3 linked regions of the Astyanax mexicanus genome follow. The protein of the gene in region 1 interacts with the protein of each later gene in a pairwise test. Links are inferred from orthologs where the notes say so. Each region holds a gene or a part of one and is shown in the gene's direction. Other genes may lie near its edges.

Region 1 (7,003 bases):
ATTTAAAAAGAGATTCTATATAAAAACTCCTACAAGTAACCATCTACCTTTTTAAAAAATATTTCTGTTTATTATTCCTAAATTGGAAGCACAATCCCAAGAAGGGGGTGAAGATTAGCACACGCCTCCTCTATCCTTTTTTTTATGTTGCCGCTAATTTGCATTACTGGGTAGTCAGCTCGCTTGAGGAAAGCACAGCAACCCAGCTTTGATAGATCAGCCAACAGACGCCTGTGCTGATTAACATCACACTAGGTGCTTTTGCAATAACGATATTCAATATTATTGCATATGATACAATATGACACATCTCTAGTATGGAGAGAGCACCTAGCTAGGTGAACTAGGTCAACTGAGCTATCTCTGACTCCAGCTGCTGGTGGCAAGCAGCATTATCTGCAAATGAACCAGTGATCCTCAGACCGACCACTTAACAGTTGAAGAACCCCCCTTTCTGTTGTATTCAAAGCAATGTCTCTATCTTTTTAAAATGATTTTAAAAGGGGGTCCACTACTAAAAAGAAACCATTTTGCTTTGAGTGTCCTCAGTGTCCTCACAAGCTCAGAAATATAAATTCACACATAGGAAAATTTGTTCACACCCATCTCTGGTACATTTCTCCTGAGGTTCACTTTGTTGAAGGTAGACTGTGTGTGTTTATGTGTGTATGTCTATGAAATTCCTTGAGGGCAGATCACTCATACGCAGCACACATACAGTCCCATGCCCAGAGAGAACAGCTATGTAATGAGGTAAACATGAGCTAAAAACACACTCTCACTCTCTCTGTGTCACTCTCTCTTATACTGTCTCACTCTCTCTCACTTAAACAAACACAATAATCAGAAATAGTATTATTTAAGAGAGCTGTTCCCATTCTCTTTAATTTATAAATTGTGGCATTCAAATATATTTATTTATATCTTGCATGAACAGGCCTGTGTATTGTGCAGTCAGTGTAGCTGAACAGGGCAGGAATGGTAATATATTCCCGGGTGGAGCGAGTAGAGTATGTGGTCTCCACAGTAACATAGCGACAAACACTTTGGAAAAGTCCCATCCGAGTCATGTTGAAGAAAAAATGACAGTGATTTTGCCGGCCTCTCTCTGAGTAAATAACATTTCTGGCCCTAAATTGAATGTTCGAAAACTCAAGCAGCAGCAGAGATAATGCACTTACATTTTCCCAGCTTGTTTACAGGGTTTTAACTGTGAGTGGTGGTCTAAAAGCCTTTTTAATGGGCAGAGCTTGATGTTTTTCTCTGTGTCTTCATTCGCAATTGCATCTGTCACCCCTAAACTTCACCTGTGGTTTTTAAGTGTTTCTGAGTGAGGACTGCTGAAGACATTCTCTCAGCTATGAAGGTGGATTCCAAGAATTTTAAACCTGAGGTAACGGGGTTCCGGTAACTTCCCCAAAGCTTACACGGCCTGTAGCAAGAAAAGTCATATACTATATTGCCAAAAGTACCGAGAAAGCTGCTCATTCATTGTTTCCTCTGAAACTAAGGGTATTAAAAGAGTATTTCATGCTTTTGTTGGAGTAACTGTCTTTACTCTCCAGGGATTTCTACTAGACTTTGGAGCATTGCTTAATTGCATTCAGCAGCAAGAGCAATAGAGAGGACAAGATGTTTGGATGATCATCACCCCAACTCTTCCTTAACTCATCCCAAATGTATTGGATGGAGCTCCACCATTCCAGAGAACACAGTTCCACTGTTTCACAGCTCAATACTGGGGACTTTTATACGACATTTTATCGACACCCAATTTTTTGCAATACAAACCTTTAGACAAGATAAGCTGTGTATGTGCATTAGCAACTCTGTGTCAACGATGGGTGTAACTTGAAGTAGGTAAAGACATTTAAAAGAAGGTGTGTTCCAATTTCAAACATTTAGTGTACTAAAAAAAGGGAAGTTATAAAATTTGCATATAAACAGGAAAATCAGCCAACATGAGATCATTTTTACTTTATAAAATGACTAAAAAAATGAATACATACTAAACACAAATACATAACAAACCCAAATTAATTACATTTAAGATTTCTGTTTATTTACACAGTTATCAGCACTTCTACTTACCCTGAACTCCTAATGATGTCACACAAAAGGATAAGGGTGTTTATTATTAGAAGTACTGTCTTACCCTTTGTGGTTTAGGCCAATTCCAGCATTATGTAAAAGGTATTTGGACTCATAATGTACTGCGATGTGTTGTGTACAGTATCGTGTGGTGCTGTAAACACAGGCCATGTGTGTATGTTGCACTGAGATCCAGGAGGAACGTTGTTTTGTTCCATGTTGTATTTGTGTATGGTTGGGAGTTCTTGATCTTGATCTCAGAGCACAAGGTTAGCACCTGTTATATAATGTGAATATGATGTAACCATTTCAGGTGAATACAGGCATATCTTCAAACCTTCAATTAAACATTCAAACCTTTAAACCTACATGTTACTAGTACAGTGTATGGGGCACATAATCAACAAATAGTTGTTAATATTTAAACCAGCTTTGTTAGCAAAAAATAACAATAATTTCTTATTATATATAAGTTAGTTGACAGACTTGCTGGGTTAAGCTCTTTCAAACAGTTCAATGGTTCAAAATACAAAGTTATAAATAATAACTAAAATTATTTTAACAAATTTTATACTTTGATTATTGAAGTAGAGGTTTGGGATTTTATACAACTTTATACAAATGGGTTATGGGCAGACCTTTTTGAGCATATTGTGTTGATTTTACGGATTTTTATATATTTGTATGCGTTGCATGATTTTTACTTCCTACTTATTTACAGTAACACTAACAACGTGAAATGAATAACATTTACAGTATTATCTGGTTACTATTGCACCTGCTAAGCGATGGAATATACAATATTAGGCAGCAAGTGAACTGTCAGTACCTGAAGTTGATGTGTTGGAAGCAGGAAGCCACTTTGATATGGTCTAAATAGTGATGGCTAGATAACTGGGTCAGAGCACATCCGAAAAATTAACCAGGTCTTGTGGGGTGTTCACATGTATACAACGGTCAGTACCTACAAAAAAGTGGCCTAATATTCACGGGGAACAAAGACATGCTTAAAAATAAAGATCTGATGGTAATGTCTGAATGACATGCCAAAAGTCACGGGATAGTAGTATATAATTTCTCTCATAGTGTACTGTACAACCCTGTGTCAGTATGATGACAATAATGGTGAATGCTAGAATGCCTGCTAAGGCTGTGATATAAAATATTAGGCAGCAAGTAAACTACCAGTATTTATAGGGAGCAAAAACATGTTTAAAAAAAGATCTGATGCTAATATTTGAATGGGATATTAGTATGTACTGTAAATTGATCATGAAGTGTTGGAATGCACTGGAGATCTTGTCCTGTTGTAGTGTACAGCTCTGTATCAGTATTATGGAACTGAATTGAGCGGTGCATTGTGGTGAAGTCCTTGTTTTGACAAGTCAAGGCTGTTTTAGTACCTACCTACACAATATGAGGCAGGTGCTTTTAAAGTTATGGCTGGTCCGTGTACAGTATACTGCCTACACACTTTATTGCAGTGATGGTGTCCCAGATTGAACGCAGTACCATTATGACATTGACATGGTCATTTGAAAGTGCTTTTATTCTTTTATAAGTGAAGCTAACATTTGCATTCAATGCATGCCCTTTTTAGTCTGTTATAACCTCTAACAGATTTATGCACAAGTCTCCAGTCTGCTGCTTCTGAACTGACTCTGAATGTAAGTAAGTAAGCCCTGCTAAAGGCTGCCCCCCTCCTCCTCGGGTTTTTTTTTATGAAACAGCCCAGGCTTCAAAGCCCTCAGCTAACGGGGCCGGCCAACTGCTCCATATTTGGGTTACACATTCACACACTCACACACGTACACACGCCCTCTCTCTCTCTCTTACACACACACACACACACACATATACGCACGCACACATACACACATACACACACACGCGCGCACGCACGCACTCACTCACTCCCTCGGTCACACACTTCCAGGAGGTGGGGGCATAGAGCCACAGAGCTATTAGCTCTGCTGCAGCAGACGTCGTGCTAGTTGAGGGGAGACGGTTCCACCGGCTAAAGCGGGCGCAGGAAGCCCCAACACGGAGAGCCGCGCACTTCACTGCCCGCTACAGCGCACAGTAAGTCCGCCCAATGCTCACCGGTTCTCCTGCCACTTTTACCTGCCTTTCCACCCCGAGTGAGAGAGAGAGTAGCGGAGAGAGAATAAAATGGCTGGAGCGAAAAGGAGACGCAGCGGATCAGAGACTGGCGTTCATATTTAAAAAAAAAAAATACAAAAATAAAGCTAAAAACTGAATATTTATCTTACTTTACCTGCTCTATCCAAATCCGTGCGTCTGATACAGTAAGTTTGACTGGATGACACCGTGCAGGGAGGCTGTTAAGTGAGTCTAAAACTAACACAACAACTCGAAGCGCAGAGCAGAGTGAGCGAGAGTAAGTGGGAGAGAGGGAGTCAGAGCGCGGGGGTTGGGGCGAGGCGAAGCCGGCCAGGGCGCGCTGTGGCCGGGCTGCTGAGGGAGGAGAGGGCGCTGGCCAACTTCCCCACAAGCTTCTCCGCTAACTAAGCTACACACGGCTCCGTGTTTTCGCACAGCGCTAGATAGTCGTTTGTACTTTTTGGAAACCGCCAGCGTGTCGCTTGTCGTGGCTTTTTAGCGTAGTTTTGTCTCTGTTTCCTAGCTGAGGAGACTCGCTTATGGGAATCGGGCTGCTGAACCAGAAAACACACAATTGCGGAAGTGTTGCTACGCGCTACGCTGTTTATTCGTAGAAACGGGGCGCCTGAGTTAACGTTACTGACAGCTCTCTCTCTCTTTCTCTCTCTCTCTCCTCAGCCACCACCGCGCTGAGTAAAGGTGACAAACAGCAGCTGGAGTTCAGCTCCTCCATTCATACTGTTTCTACTTAAAGCGGGATTGAGTGTGTTTCATTGACACTGCTGTGTGCGTGTGTGTGTAGTTAGCCTCCGGTGTGTGTGAGTGTGTGTGAGTCCAGCTCTGCTGGTTATATAATGAGCTGCTGGGATCTCTTCTGCTCCAGCTTACAGTATCTCCCTCTCTCCTCCTCCTTCTCCTCCTCCTCTTCTGTTAGTTTACATTCACATTATTTTATAACTGTGCCTTAAACACACGGAGATATATATGACTTCCTAAAAATATCGCTGTTTATTTTAACTGCAAAAAAAATATGGAACATTACAGTTGATGAAGGTGCTCGTGCTCATCTTACTGTATTGCATAAAGAGAAAAAGTTATGCAGTCAATAAAATATATGAATTATTAAATAGTAATAATAATAATAGTTGTATTATATAAACAAAATAGTTTTATTTTGATAATAATGTATAATTGCAATTGACTTCATTTGCCTAGGGGTGGACTGTTGCCCTCTGACCCTGTCCAATAAAGATCACTTTAATGCATAAACAAACAAATAAATTAATAAATAGAATGTATTTTCAATTTTAAGTTATTCACAACCTGCTCACATTCCCAGTGTGGTAAAGTAAGTAAGTAAAATTTATTTATACAGCACTTTTCACAGAGAGTAGACACAAAGTGCTTTACAACAACAAAAACATAGAAAATAAAATATACAATTGCCTTCCTAAAACATATACAATAAAATAAATAACAAAAGGAGAACACAGTGTTGCCAGGTACAGTTATCCAAATGCACGTTTAAAGCTTACTTTATCACAAAAATAAAATAAAATAATTAACATATTTATCAAAATATAGATAACCATTAACTGACAACTATCGAATTTGAAGCAGAATTAATGATACTATTTTAATAACATAATAGAAATAAATGTAATAACATTAAATGTATTTAAAGGTCCCCTTCCAATTAAGGTCACTTAAATGCATATGTAAATAAATAAATACATAAATAGAATTTATTTGCATTTAACCGCCATTCACAATCAGTCACAACCATATTTATTAAAATTATATAGAAACAGAATTATTGATAATTTGTTAATATCATAAAGAATTAAATGTACTTAAAAGTCCCTGTCCAATAAGAGAAACTTTTTCAATGCCTATGCAAATAAATAAATAGAATGTATTTGCCCTTTTACATTTCCTGTACTAAAAAAGCTTACTTTATTGTAAAAAGGGTAATTAAAAGCCCCTGTCCAAGAAAGGTCATTTTAATGCAGCATATCTAAATGTATTTGCATTTTTACTGTCATTCACAACCTGCCCACATTCCCTGTGCAATAAAAAGCTACTTTATTGCTAAAATAGGAAGTTAATTATTTAAGATTATTAAAGATAATAACAGAATTAGTGATACTGTAATAATAATATTAATATATATATATATATATATATATATATAATTAGGAGTTTCTAGATTATTGACATCAAATGGATGTTGATCTGAAGTAGAAGTGCTCAAATACTAAGCTTCAGTACAATCCAGTACATGCTACTTTACTGCATGCAAATATAAATAGGCCTACATCACTAAAATAAAATAAATGCATAAAGGAAATGCACTTTTTTAAACCATTTCTTGTCACATTGATGCTCAAGGTACTCATTTTATTGATCTAATGCAGGTCAATTTAATGCAAATATAAACAACAAACAAATAAATAAATGTATTTGCATTTTTCGGTTATTTATAGCATTGTATGTGCAGTTGAGGTGTTCATGTATCTTCACAAGCTCAGTCAGCTTCATTAAGCACTCATAAATGAAACAATGAATGAATGAATGGATGAATGAATGAATAATTGAATGAATGAGTAATGAGTAACCAATACAGTCGCATTGTTTTCAGATGATTCATAATGTCATGTATGTGATCAGGCTGTTTGGTTTCCCTGCTCAAGCTGGCAGTGGCTCACTGGAGCAGAACTGGAGCAGATATGTTGTTTTCCAAGCGAGAAAAAAAAAAGTTTTTAATCTCAAGAGTCTGACACGGAGG
Region 2 (7,251 bases), on another chromosome or scaffold:
CATATAAGGACATTCACTGTGGCTATCCGGTGGATGGCTGAGTGAGAGGGGATGTTTGTCCTCTTTAGGAAGGTAGCAGGAGGCAGAAACGTGCAAAACATTGGGCAAGGAAAACAATAAAGAAATACTGAAAGGAGCTTCCTCTGTGGAGATGGAGGGGAATATCTGAGCAACTTCTGTGGACAAGTGTGTATGTGTGTGTGTGTGTAAGAGAGAGAGAGAGAGAGCAAGAGAGCGAGAGACAGACAGCAATAAAAACAAGGAATAGACTACTCACTACTAGGAAAGTGAGAAAAGGCCCTGAGGAAACCCATGAATCAACCAAGATTCACTGTCATTAAAAAACTGGCAGGAAACTAAAGGAAAGTTGTTGGACATGATCAGTACTATAAACTCCATAATGAAATCCTTCATCAGTCTAACTATTCTTATTCTAAACATGGTGCAAGATATCAGGACGAAGCTACCTCTTTCATAACCAGCAGCATTATTAATAGAAGCTAATGCCACATAAAAAGTCTTTTATCGGAAATGGATCAGAAGAAAAACCCTGCTAACAACAATACCCTATTCACACACCTGTCAACAGCCGGGGACTGAGGGCAGTGTTAACTAATGTGCTGACAGCCAACTTCTGCAGTATTATTGATTGTCTGCTTTGAGAAACCCACTGTGGGATTTAAATAGTAAATAAAGAACTGGGAAACTATATCCGTTAACTGCATAAAAACAATTTAGCAGAAGAAAAATCCTTAAGCTAATCAACAGGACAAAAATATATATCATTTACAAGTCACAATAGGTTTGAGGACACCTGGTCAGAAGACACAATTTGTTCATTATTTGATGGAAGTAAGAAAGTTAAAATTCCTATTTTTTCTCCGAACTGAATGTATTGGAAACAAATTAATATATGTAATATTTAATTAGATTTACACACAATGCAATTGAATAATTGCATTATAATAAATGTCAAAAACTGTAATTATAATTCAGATTTGGTAGAGATGCTTTCTCTTTGGAGAAGGTGACTTTCATTTTGGCAAAGGCATTATGATATTTATTACTTGTATTCATTTGTTGTAAAATGAATTCAGTAAATTTATAAATGCCAAAAGCTTTGGACAATTAATAAGGTCAGAGTGAAGTAAAGTCAGTCATGTGAGTAAAGAATCTAACTGGGTTTAAGGGTTTAAAACATATAGGGTTGTTTTCCTGGACTAAGCCTTGTCCTTGATGAAATTGTCCTTATCACTGCACTGCAGGCAGCCAAATTACATTTTGTATTACTTTGATATAACTAAATACATTTATGTATATTATTAGTCTTTAGTCTTCCCACTAAAATAAATGTATTGGTTAAATTTTAAGACTTCCATTTAAGAATGTTTTTTTTTTATAATACTCATATTTTATTGCATAATATTCAGTAATTTAAAATGCAATTATTAATACATTACACAAATGTATGTGTCTGCAAAACGTGCATCCTGTATAACATATAACATGAGGTCCTTATATATGACGACATGTGTAAAGTGTGCTGATCCAGCAGTACCTGTTCAGTGATGCTTGAAGACAACTTCTAGTTTCCCTGGAATTATCCTTGACATTTCCCCTCAAATTCCACTTATCCTTGGCTTCCCCTCAGCGGTTCCTTTTCTTCCGTGAAATCCTTCCAGGACTTATTCTGAGAAAAGCTTTTGGAAGAGCCAAAGCCATGCTCCTACAGGAGAACACCTGAAACATACAGGTAAATAATACTGGAATCATACTAATATTATTCTATCGATTAAAAACCTCAAGCATACCTGTCACAACCATTTATGTGATTGTCTCTACAGATGATGATTAAGACAGATTTTAATTAAAGCATCTGAATAATGTCAGAATAATGTCCCCCCTCACCTGTGGTGCATGCCATTAATCTGTCACATGATCAACTTCCGCTCCTGCACTGCTTTAATGAGATAACACTTCACCACCTGAGTCTTTGGGTCAACATCACTGACTCACACAGAGTGTGTAATGATATCTGTCTGGATGAACAGATGACATGAGCCACCATAGGGAACAGAGATGTGAATATTTAATTAGACTCTTGAGCACTGGGGGATGATGGTGCTAATTAGAATAATAATCATGGTAAGAAGTCTGATTGGCCATCAGGAAAGCTGAAAGACAGCAGTGACTCTAGGCTAATTAACATGCCTGGTGATTTTCATAAAGCATGTCTATTCTAGACCAGTATTGTCTAGGATGTCCTCACAGTAAAATCAGTCAAAAAATGAATATAGAATTATACATACAGTATACGACAGTGTTGGTTGGTCCTTGCACAAATATGAATAATTACTTTTCTTGTAATAAAAATAATAAAGATACAAAAATAATCCCCTGGTCTCACAGTCCGTCAAATGCCTACCCAGAGTCACTAAAATGGACACCAATCTTTTACAAGGTACCACACACTCACACCTAGGGGTTAGTTTAGCATAACCAAATTATTACTCACATATTTTAGGGAGGAAAAATGAAACTATAGTACCTGGGGGACACATACCTCTTCACAGATAAGCTACCTAAGGATCAAACACACAACCCCAGACACTGCTGTGTAGCAGACCATGCTACCATGCTGCCAAATGCAAACATACATTAAAATAAGCCTTACTGTCAGTTTAGAAATATAAATAAAAATACTGTAACATGACATGTGATGTGTAATTGCGATGCTCCACTGACTTGTAACAACTATATATCTTTGGTAAAGTGGACAGAATAACACTCGTGAGAACTGCACAATGGTGTTTACCTTAAGTCATGTTTGTATATATTTTTTTAATATTGCTGTGCTGCATCAACAACCCACATGCCTCTCTCACTTTCAGGTCCATTTCTGTCTCTCCTAAATTGTCCTAAAACGTGTGTGTTTAGGGGTGACCCAAAGTGTGAAGGACACTTCAGCTGTCACTTTAGCTGTCCATGTAGTTTATAAGTGGTTTATCATCTCCTCCTACCCTATATTTAATTTTTACCCTGTCACACTGGTAATCAACTTCCCAAAATGGCATGTACCACAATGGTGGAATCAAAAGTAGCAGGAAAGATATGCTTTATTTATAGGCCAGGCTACCTCTGTAAAAAAAAAAAAAAAAAAAAAAAAAAAAAACTATAAAGACTGGGGATTAGGTCGCCTCAGGCAACAGGGTGTTTTTCCCTTTTTTTCTGTAGATAAGGATGTGTACCATCTGTCATTCCAATATGGGACACTAGCTGGCCAGCACAACCCCCCACACACACACCCCTTACGTCACGAGTTTGGTGCGCTTCCCAGCGTATTTTTTACCCACCCGTTTTTGACATGTCCCTTGTTCTGGGCTCGGATTGGCTGATAGTATTCCTCGAGCTGAGTTTGGATTGGCTAGCAGCTTATTTTCATAAATTTTTTTTCTTGAAGACATTCGCTGCTAAAAGATATGGTTATTTTCCTAATCAATACCTGATTACTAATATAATTAAGGAAGTGTCATATAAGCTTGTATTGTTACATAAAATATATCCAGCCAAAAGCTTTTTTATAACATTTACGCACAATTTTGAAACAGATTTAAAATATAATTTTGGAAAACGTAAGTGCTTATGTTATTTTAAAATGCATGAAATGTACTGTCTGGTATATTTTCTGTCTTTTGCTGAATTACAGATATAAATATGCACATGCATATTTTAAAACATTCTTTCTCTTTATATATTTTATTGCTGTCTAAAATGTCTACTTGTCTAGCGTGTATTTATTTTGTTATATGTGCACATTGGAGCCTGGAGAAACCTCCAATCACGTTTAACTATGCATTCCTTGCTGTATATTTTAAGTAAGAAAGAAGTAGAAAAGTTCATTTTAAATTTTACTTTGATATATCATACATTTTATATGTTTTTAATGGTCACATTTTAAATAATTATTAATTGTAATGTTTCCAGTTAAAATATATTTTGTTGCTTTTGAAAAAGAGATGAAACACTATATTAAATTAATACAGCCCTTTTCGAAGCAAAAAGCCATTTTACAGTTAAATAAATCATGTTTATTAGCCTAGCAATATTATTAATAATTGTGTATTTGTGTGTATACTATTATTTTCTATGTATTATGTTTGATTGTAATGGATAAAATTAAATAAAAAAATAATAATAATAAAACCTGGAGCGGCCAATCCCAGTTGAGGGGGCGGTGTTTGTCTGAAAACAGGTGGAAAAGGAAATAACGCCGCTTCTCCGGGGCCTCTGGCACACAGTCACACGCAGGATCCACGAAAAAAGTAGGTTACAGGAACTGAAAGTACTCAGTACTTCAGACACCTAAACAACTTTTATACGGGTAGCTAAACAGTCGTGACCTTGTCGAAGACGTGGTGAAGTGAGGCGGGCCGTTTTCAGCGCTCTTTGGTGTGACAACGAGAGAGGATGGCGCTAGGTTAGCTCTAATGTTAGTCATCTAACCTAGCATGAGCTAGCATAGGCAGACCAGCAGCACTGTAACTTTTTCTTTTAAGGGGACAGTGGGGACAGGAGGCTATTAGTGATTCAGTAATGAATTTTAATTTAATCCTGTTTTGTGTGCACGCTAGTGGTTTATCATGCTCCAGTCCAAAACACAGATGTCTTCTTCTTTAAGCTTCTCGCCTGAAATGTTTAACCTAGCTACCAGATTTAGCTCATTTTAACTAGCTACGTTAAATAGTTAACCTAACAGTATTTTGTAACACAGTCCGACACAGGGCAGCATCTTCGTCCCTTAAAGTTCAGGATCGTGAGCTGTAGATTAACTGTGTGTGTTGTGCAGATGAGAGGCGAGTCAGGCCAGCTGTAGATGAGCTGGATTAGCCAGCACTTGTTTTTGAAGAGGTAGGGTAACGTTAACGGAAATCAATAAATGCTCCATTGTTCCTGTTTTCTCCGCAGCCCTCGCACGATACGCTGCGGGTTTCGGGGAAGCTGCATGGCTAATTATTCTGTGCTGAAACCTGGACGTGTCGTGTTGGTTAAGATTTACTATAGTTTACTATAGTCTAAACTGTAGATAGATAGTTAGATAGCTAGGAGTGTGACACTGGCCCACTTTGATTCACCACTGCTTCGTTCAGTATGTTGTTTACTAGCTTGTGTCCACCTAAAAACTAACATTCTCTTATTAGTTACACGTCCAGAACTCGGCCCAACACTCCTCGGGGTTGAGTTTGCGTCCGACAGGGTCCAGGCACCAGCCTAGTCCGCCTGAGCACGCCAAACCTTCTCGCAAACTTTTACAGCTAACGCTAGTTAACAAGCTATCTAGCTACCTACCTACCTAGCTAGATAACTAGCCAGCTTAATGTTAATTTTAAGTTATTTTTCGTTTTAACTAGATAATTATTGCTCTCTTGTCTTTTATCTAGCTATATGATACAGTTTAAATTTCTCAGACATTATTTATGTCTAGTTCTGACACCGGTATACCGTGATGTTGACATACCGTGATGCTGCTCTTCGGTAACAACATATCGGCTAGTAAGCTAACCTATCTAACTAGGTTGACTCGGTTACTGTGTTAGGTTAACGTTACTTGGTTAGTTAGCAGTAGGTTATATAGTTAGCTAGTTATCTATGATAAAGTGACAGTAAAACAGTAACGTTAGCATTTGTATGACCAACCGCCTTTTCCACTCTTCTAAACACTATGGGGCAGCTTCCTCCGGACAGGGAGTAAGCCTAGTCATTAGTCCTATCTGAAATCTCATTCATGGGGGGGATCCTCTTTGATTTTATTCCAGTCCGGGAACGACCATGTACGTGCTTTTCCCAAACGTCTTCTGAATTACTTACTGTTTTTCGCTGAAATATTTAGTCCCCACCAGACACAAATCTAATTTTCATTACCTCGCATTTTATAAAATAGTTGTCCACTGCCACACACTGTCATTACACTTCGGCCGTGCGTTTCCACGGAGATCCACTTAAACAATAGCGAGTGGAAATAGAGGAGCTACTGAACCCGATGTCACGTGACTGAGAAAGCCAAAAAACTCACCGGTCCTCCTGTTTATATATATATATATATATATATATATATATATATACAGTGCCCTCCATAATTATTGGCACCCCTGGTTAAGATGTGTTCTTTAGCTTCTCATAAATTGAGTTTTGTTCAAAATAATATAGGACCACGATGGAAAAAAAGAGTAAAATACAACCTTTAACTCAAGTGAATTTATTCAGTAGGAAAAAAATCCCACATTAAGAAATAATTATTTAACATCAAATCATGTGTGCCACAATTATTAGCACCCCTGATGTTAATACTTTGTACAACCCCCTTTTGCCAACAAAACAGCACCTAATCTTCTCCTGTAATGTTTCACAAGATGGGAGAATACAGAAAGAGGGATCTTTGACTATTCCTCTTTGCACATTCTCTCTAAATCATCCAACGACCTGGGTCCTCTCCTCTGCACTCTCCTCTTCAGCTCACCCCACAGGTTTTCAATGGGGTTGAGGTCTGGGGACTGAGATGGCCATGGGAGGAGCTTGATTCTGTGTGCGGTGAACCATTTCTGTGTAGATTTGGCCACATGTTTAGGGTCATTATCTTGCTGAAAGACCCAGTGACGACCCATCTTCAGCTTTCGGGCAGAAGCCACCAGATTTTGTTTTAAAATGTCCTGGTATTTTAGAGCATTCATGATGCCATGCACCCTAACAAGGTTCCCAGGGCCTTTAGAAGAGAAACAGGCCCACAGCATCACTGATCCCCCGCCGTATTTCACAGTGGGCATGAGGTGCTTTTCTGCATACTCAGCTCTTGTGTTACGCCAGACCCACTTAGAGCATTTGTTGCCAAAAAGCTCTATCTTTGTTTCATCTGACCAAAGCACACGGTCCCAGTTGAAGTCATAGTACCGCTTAGCAAACTCCAAACGTTTGCGTTTATGATTGTGAGTGAGAAATGGTTTCTTCCGTGCATGCCTCCCAAACAGCTTGTTGGCATGTAGATAGCGCCTGATGGTTGTTTTGGAGACTTTGTGACCCCAAGAAGCTACCATTTGTTGCAATTCTGTAACAGTGAGCTTTGGAGAACTTTTTATTTCTCTTATCATCCTCCTCACTGTGCGTGGTGGCAAAATAAACTTGCGTCCTCGTCCAGGCTTGTTTACCACTCTTCCAGTTGTTTTAAACTTCTTAATAATTCCTCTGACAGTAGATATGGAC
Region 3 (6,895 bases), on another chromosome or scaffold:
TCGTCTGAATGAGCAGTAGTGACATCAATTCCTGTATTTGACCTGTGTGTCAGGGTGAAGGTTGCAGTACGGTACGTGTGTGTGTGTGTGTGTGTGTGTGTGAAAGCTGAGAAACAAGCCCTCCTCCCTCCCCATCATCCATCTATCAGCAGTGCAGTAAATCATACCATGACTAGACTAGTGACTAGTGTCACATAGGCCCACGCTTAGTCTCTCTCTATAGATACACTATGACTGCTTTACTTTATATCCACTGTACGTACGCTGTAAAAAATGTCAACCTGGGAAGAAGTTGATTTTAAGTGTTTTTAAGCTTTGAATTGATGGAAAAAATAAAAAGATTGAAGTATAATTATTTAACTTATAGTACTTTAACAATCATATATATATATATAACTAAATAATACTTTATTCTCTTTTTTCAACTTCATTTCAAACATCCTTTTAACATCAAGTTATTACAACTAAAGGGGAAGTTGACTTAACTTTTTTAGCTTTGTTATACTGTAAGACCAGATAAGTTGAGTTTACTTTTTTAAGTTTGCTCAAATTTGTTAAGGTATAGGAAATAAAAACTTAAGTGAGCATAAATTAAAGATCAAGTTTTTTTACAACTAAAAGGGAAGTTGATTTATTTCTAAGGTAGTCCAGGGGGAATCACTACACACTGATGGTGAGTGTTAGTCAGAAACTGTTGGACACGCCCAGTATGCAAATAGATTGTGACTGAAGCCAATGGAAAAGTAGCTGTTAATGGCAACAGACTAAACTCAGTTATTATAAATTGGTTCAAGTCAAAGATAAAGATTATATGTGCTCACAAATGTTCATCTAACTCAAAATAGTTGAGTATTGTTTAGAAATATCCAATTTTATGTAAAACAGACTTAAATCATTTGAGTTCTAACAACGTATGGGTTTACAGTGTAATGTTTGTAGAAGCGGTCTGCATACCTGGGTGCTTGGTTTTATACACATGTGGCAATGGAAGGGATTGGAACCTATATTTAATAAGGTTCCATTTGGATGGGTAAGGGAATACTTTCAGCAATAATCTGTTAAAATATCATGAAAGAACTTAGAAAGAATCTCTGCTCTGTGCTCTTGTGCCTGTGCTGTAAATCAGCTTCTTTTAAGCCCTAGCAAATGCTGCAACTGACCAAATTAGCAAGGGTAATTTTATAGGCTTAAGCATTTGCTCTGGAAATTAGCTGATGAACCGTGTTAAGCCCCCTTAATTCTCTCATGTGTCCTGTATTTTCCAGAGTGAAGATTCCACATGTTTTTTTGTTTTTTTCTCTTAGTTCAAAAGTGCAGGAGCTCTGAGAATGGCGAATAGAATCATATCTGCTCTTCAGTGACAAAAGCACAACAGACCGAGGTCTAAAATAGTTTCCACGCCGGCTATCTCTGAGCCTATCTGACTTTCCACATTAGTGAAGTCTGTCTCTGAAGCTCCAGTGCAGCCATTAGAGCTGTTAAAGAGCCTGGGCAGAGTGGGGATTATGGCGAAGGTTGCGTTTCTTCCACAGTGATGACAACAGTGGTGAAAGAGCATATAGTGTAAGAATAGTGGTGTTTACTGTATGGGTGCATGTCTGCATGTCTGAGCTCCACAACATAATGTGCATTCACCATTATTGTGATACTGTGATGATGTAAATGCTTCGATCACAAGGAGCTTCAAGATGTCAGTGACTGCAAAGCAGACAAACCAAGTCTCCCTGAAGCTGCGGGAGTCTCCCACATTTCGCTAGTGGCTCCCTGATGCCCGCGAGTCACATATAATCTCCCGGAAGTTAAATTAAGTGATTTCTTTTCGTGTCACACTGAAGACACATTTATATTTACATCCTGCTTTGTAAATATGGGGCGTGGTCAGTCAGCGGTGGATGTGGGCACGCACGGTTCATTTACAGTGTGTTCGTGGAGCGGTGTGGGTGTGGCCTGACTGTTATGGAACGCCTTTTGGGTCTTTATGTCTGTGAGAGACTGCACTGTGAGTGTTGTGGGCGGGGCTCACAGCAGCCCCCTGCTGCTCGCTGCGGACAGTGACTGAAGAGCATGTGTTCATCTCAGAGTCGCCAAAAATCTCCAATAACACCACAAAAACTCGCTAGATTTGTCGCTAGTCGCTTTTTTACAAAAAAAAAAGTTGCTAGAGGGTCTGAAAGGTCGCTAAATATAGCGACAAAGTCGCTTAGTTGGCAACACTGTATCCTGTCTCCTCCTCTTTTGCTCACCTGTTCATTTGTAGCTCCGCCCCTTAGTCCCAGGTGCTTCCTGTTTCGTTGGTCAATACTTGAAAAAACTAAAAGGGTAGCATTGGCATGTTCAGTGTGTCCACACACACCTAATACACCGTGGTTTTAAAAGTTGTAATTCAGAAAAGTTCAGTACAGTGAGAGATAAAGAATAAATAGTGATAAAAATCTACTTACAGCTGAGAGAGAGAGAGATAGAGAGAAGTAGAAGGGAGGGAAGGGGGGACAAACAAGACTACAGTTATCTAAGAAATACTGCTGTACTACTGTGACTCCTGTGCTGGGATGATTTGACAGGAAATGGTCAATACTTTTGCATTTGTTTGAGACCTGTTCCATCGATATGTTTGCATTTGCATGTAAGAGAGATGTTACTTGATATCAATTTGAAATTCAAAAGTAAAAAAATCAGGTGTAATTAAGGATTCAGAAAGAGACGTTTGTGGTTCCAGAAATAATCATTAATGTAAAAGAGATGTTGGCATTAATAACCTTTTAGTATATCTGTTTAAGGTCAGATCATTAAGTTCAAGGTTCTATTCCAATTAAAAGGTTTTTTCACATTTGCATACATCTCTATTTCCAAAAGTAATTATTTTATGGCATTGATCATACAGCTATTTGTATAATTACCTTTGATTTGAAGAGTGTAGGAACAGGAACAGTGTGGTTAACTTATAAAAAAATACAGGTTATCTATTGCTTATTCATTGTTTTATCATTTAATAATCAACTCTACCTGCCTCAATGTTTAAAGCAGAGGTGGAAAAAGTACTGGAAAATTGTAATTAAGTAAAAGTACCTTTACTTTGCTAAAATTCTACTCAAGTAAAAGTAAAAGTACCCATCTAAAAACCTACTCGAGTAAAAGTAAAAAGTACTCAATGTAAAATGTACTTTGAGTAAAAGTTACATAGTTACTTTTATTTATTTGGTGTAAAAAAGTACACCAAACAAATCATAAATTAAATAATTATTAAATTAGATAATTTGGACCTTTCAGGCAGTATTTGTTCAGACCACCCTAACAAACATTTTAAAGAACAAGTGGCATAGATTTCTATGATCCATTTTTTTTTCTTTACTGTTAAAAGTTAAAAAGGAAACGTTCAGCTGCGCTACCATGGAGAACAAAACTCACTTTTTTTTTATTCAGACAATTATTTTTTTGTCCCCCAGCATTTATTTTTTTGCTTAATAACAGGGAGTTTTCCAATGTAGTGAAGTAAACTACTTGTGTCAAAATGTACTTGAGTAAAAGTAAAATTACCTATTTTTACCTATATTTATAAAATCTACTCAATTACAGTAATGTGAGTAAATGTGGTTTAAAGTATTGAAAGTGAAACATTATGGACTGATGGACTGACTAGCTGCATAACAGAGCACTGGATTGAACATTCCCCAAGTTCTAATAACGCATGTGTGTGCATGTGTGTGTGTTGTAGGGATCATTTCCAGGCATCGGGGGATTTCTAAACCTCCCCTGCGCTGTTCCAGCACACGGCGGCCAACATGAGTGTATGCGAGTACGGGAGGGAATATCAGGTGTCGGTGCAGACAGGCTGTGGAGTGAGGGCATCGTGTGGAAATAGCATCAGAGACGGTATAAAAGGCAGATACACACACTCGCTCAGTCAGACAGCATACACACACTGCTCAGGGGGCAAGCAGTTGAAGAACCAGGTGAAGAACAAATTGAGATCTATCTTCTTAGCAGAAGAAGAACAGAACCAGTGAAGATCCTCTTTAAGAGACGATCATTGTAGATCCTCTACAATTACAGTTAACCCTTAAGTAACAAGACAAGACACAGAAGCTGAAGATGCAGGTTTGCACAGTCCTGGAGAAGCGTGGCGGCTGCGTGGTGGGAGCCGAGCTGAGCTGCAGTGTGAGGGAGGAGAACGCTGCCAAGAGAGAGAGCTACACCGCTGACTGGCACAGCATCAACATGAAAACACAGCACGAGGATCGGTAAGTTCATATACTTACACTTAACTTACATTTAATTTTATTTGTGTGGGAACAGTCTTTCCTTAATTTTATAACTTAGGAATGTCTTTCTCAGGTTCTTCTTAAAGTTATCCTAGACTCCTGACTTTCTGATATATTTGACCCAAAAAGTCTTTTGGTCTTTAGTCCTGCTCCTGAAGAACTACCTTCAACCCAACTGTGGATCAAAACCACCCTATCCAACCAACCTCTGCCATCAAATTTCCTTTATTGGCTAAAAGAAACCTGATTGATTTGGGCTGGAATTGAAACCTGCTGGAAGGTAGTCCTTTAGAAGCTAAAGAGACTTCTCTTTGAGGACTACAAAGACAAAGACCAGTGGTTTTCAATCCTGCTCTTGGAGAACTTCCTTCCTATAAACGTTGTATCCAACTGTTCCCTTTAGATTCAGTCCTTAATTGATTAAATGATGTATTATAGTTTTGGATTTTGGATCCAATCCTAATCCACCCTACCAACTAACTTATGCCTTCAGATGTCTTTAATTGGCTGAATTTGGTGTGTGCTAAAGTCCCTAAAAACTTTGCATCCAACCCTACCTTATCCGTCTAGCCAATCAAAGACATCTGAACACAGTAGTTACTTGGATAGGGTAGAACGTGCTATAAGGTTGGATCCAAAGTTTGCAGGAATGTACCTCTCCAGCAGGTCATCAAATCTGTCACTGAGACCTTAAAAAGATATGAAGCAGTGAACTCCATCCCTTCTCCTGAAGAACTACCTCCCTGCAGAATGGGATTCTTCTGGCTTGGGTGGATCATGTTGAGTTGCATCCAAAGTTTGCAGGAATGTACCTCTCCAGAAGGTCACAATACCAGTCTATGACAATGTGAACTAGTAGTCCTCAACCTTCCTGCAGACTTTGGTTCCAACCCAAATTGATCCACCTGAGCACAATTTACCATATCCACTTTGCAAATACCTTCAGATGTCTTTGATTGGCTAAATAGGGTGTAAAAGATTTGGGTTGGAAATTTGACCCAAACATGAAACGATTTCCCTGGATTGGACCCAGATTTCCTTCTCTCTAAACAGCAAGTGGTTAAGATTAGTAACTGAATTATAAGCCTAAAATAGACCCCCTTAATGGACTTGCATGTCAGCCCACATGTTAGCCCCTTACCCTCATAAATACTGCCTGGAAATTAGAGTAGCAAGTAATTAATACTTATGCATCTGCAATAAACCTTAACAGCTTGTTAACAACCCACCCTGGACCTTTAAAGGGGTTAACCACTTCTCTCCTGCGCCTTCTTCTCTCTTCTCTCTAGCCAATCCATGGCAATGTCCGACGATTCACGACGGGAGACCATGTCTCGTTACTGGCAAGCTCGCCCCCTCACCCAGTCCTGTCCATCGGGAGTGCGAAGAGTGGGAACTCTGGAGTCTGGCGTTCGGGAGCACCAGCTGCTTCCCAAAAGAAACACCCTCCCCCTGCCAGTCTTCAAACCAGTGGACCTTGGCATCCGACTGGGTCGCGGCACTCCACACACCCCCGAGGACTTCATCCCTGCCCGCACACCCAACGGAGAGTGCCCAAACAAGAGGGACATCCAGGAGATCACCAGAGACCTGCCACCCGTCAAACCAACCCACATGGAGTTCGCCAAATCGGCCAGAACCCTGGGCAGGTCCATGTCTCAGGAGGCCCAGAGGGGGTGAAGAGAAAGAGAGCAAGAGGGGACGGAGGGGAAGCTGAGTCGAAGAATGTTTGGACTTTGTTGAACTGTGGAAGGGCACTGAGAAAAGGGGGCTAACCTTGCAGATATAGGTAGAAAATGTACACAATAGACGTTTTAAAGCCTTCTTTGTTACTGCCCTCGCCCTGCTTGAGAAACTGCAGAGACTGATGTTGCTGATGACGATGCAAGAGGTTTGTAAAGAAGATATGAGCTGTAAATAGTATCTGATTAATTAAATAGACCTGTATAATTAAAGTAAAGCAAGTTAAACTTTAGAGGAAGGAGTTGAGCATGTTTTCGGCTGGAAACCATTGGCACAAATCGTACAAAACTAGACAGAAGAAATGAAGCAGACAGAGCAAGTTCTGGACTTGAAGGTTGGCAGGCAAGATCCTTTGAGGTACTGATGCCTACTTGGAGGAAATCAGTCAGAAATCAAGAAGGAAAGATACAGAAGAAAACAGAGGGACAGAAGCAGAGACAGTCAGGTTTATGTGTATTTTGTAAGCAGTCCTGCAGTTTATGCAATGAAAAAAGCAACAATAAGCATGTTTACAATGTTTAGGTAAATATATTTTATTTTGTTACGACTTATAAATGAATGAAATTGCACTATTTGTCAACTGTTGCTTCACATGCAGTTGTTTTTTCCTCATAGATCACAGTGGTCTTTTTTCTTGTTTGTAAGATGTCCAATGTATTGTTTCAATAAATAAATGACATAAAAAAAAATGATTGCTTCGAGCCTCATTAATGTGTTTTAATACAGCATAATACAAAAAAAAAAACGTAATAAAAACTTTTAGTGGTTCAAATGAAACTAGACAGTTCAGTCCCAGCAGAAGCAGCTGTTGCTGTGATACAGGTGTTGGTTGGTTGGTTAATTGTTGATATGGTATTGTTGTTAGTTACTATGTTGTAGGTGTTGGTTGCTAA

The links. The genes of interacting proteins can lie anywhere in the genome.
Region 2: the proteins of atxn1a (region 1) and trip6 interact in binary tests that used the Homo sapiens proteins (3 or more experiments, as listed by UniProt). The link is inferred for Astyanax mexicanus from reciprocal best matches to the Homo sapiens genes ATXN1 and TRIP6.
Region 3: the proteins of atxn1a (region 1) and tcap interact in binary tests that used the Homo sapiens proteins (3 or more experiments, as listed by UniProt). The link is inferred for Astyanax mexicanus from reciprocal best matches to the Homo sapiens genes ATXN1 and TCAP.

Annotation. Positions count from the first base shown.
Region 1 is NC_064410.1:43,979,014-43,986,016, reverse strand, and holds the start of atxn1a (ataxin-1a), read left to right. Parts: upstream 1-3,997; 5' UTR 3,998-4,173; intron 4,174-7,003. UniProt on the Homo sapiens protein: Chromatin-binding factor that repress Notch signaling in the absence of Notch intracellular domain by acting as a CBF1 corepressor. Binds to the HEY promoter and might assist, along with NCOR2, RBPJ-mediated repression. Binds RNA in vitro.
Region 2 is NC_064415.1:18,461,173-18,468,423, reverse strand, and holds the start of trip6 (thyroid receptor-interacting protein 6), read left to right. Parts: upstream 1-4,246; 5' UTR 4,247-4,322; intron 4,323-4,355; exon of another isoform or gene 4,356-4,477; intron 4,478-7,251. UniProt on the Homo sapiens protein: Relays signals from the cell surface to the nucleus to weaken adherens junction and promote actin cytoskeleton reorganization and cell invasiveness. Involved in lysophosphatidic acid-induced cell adhesion and migration.
Region 3 is NC_064426.1:36,180,133-36,187,027, reverse strand, and holds tcap (telethonin), read left to right. Parts: upstream 1-3,890; 5' UTR 3,891-4,089; coding exon 4,090-4,238; intron 4,239-5,548; coding exon 5,549-5,939; 3' UTR 5,940-6,690; downstream 6,691-6,895. UniProt on the Homo sapiens protein: Muscle assembly regulating factor. Mediates the antiparallel assembly of titin (TTN) molecules at the sarcomeric Z-disk.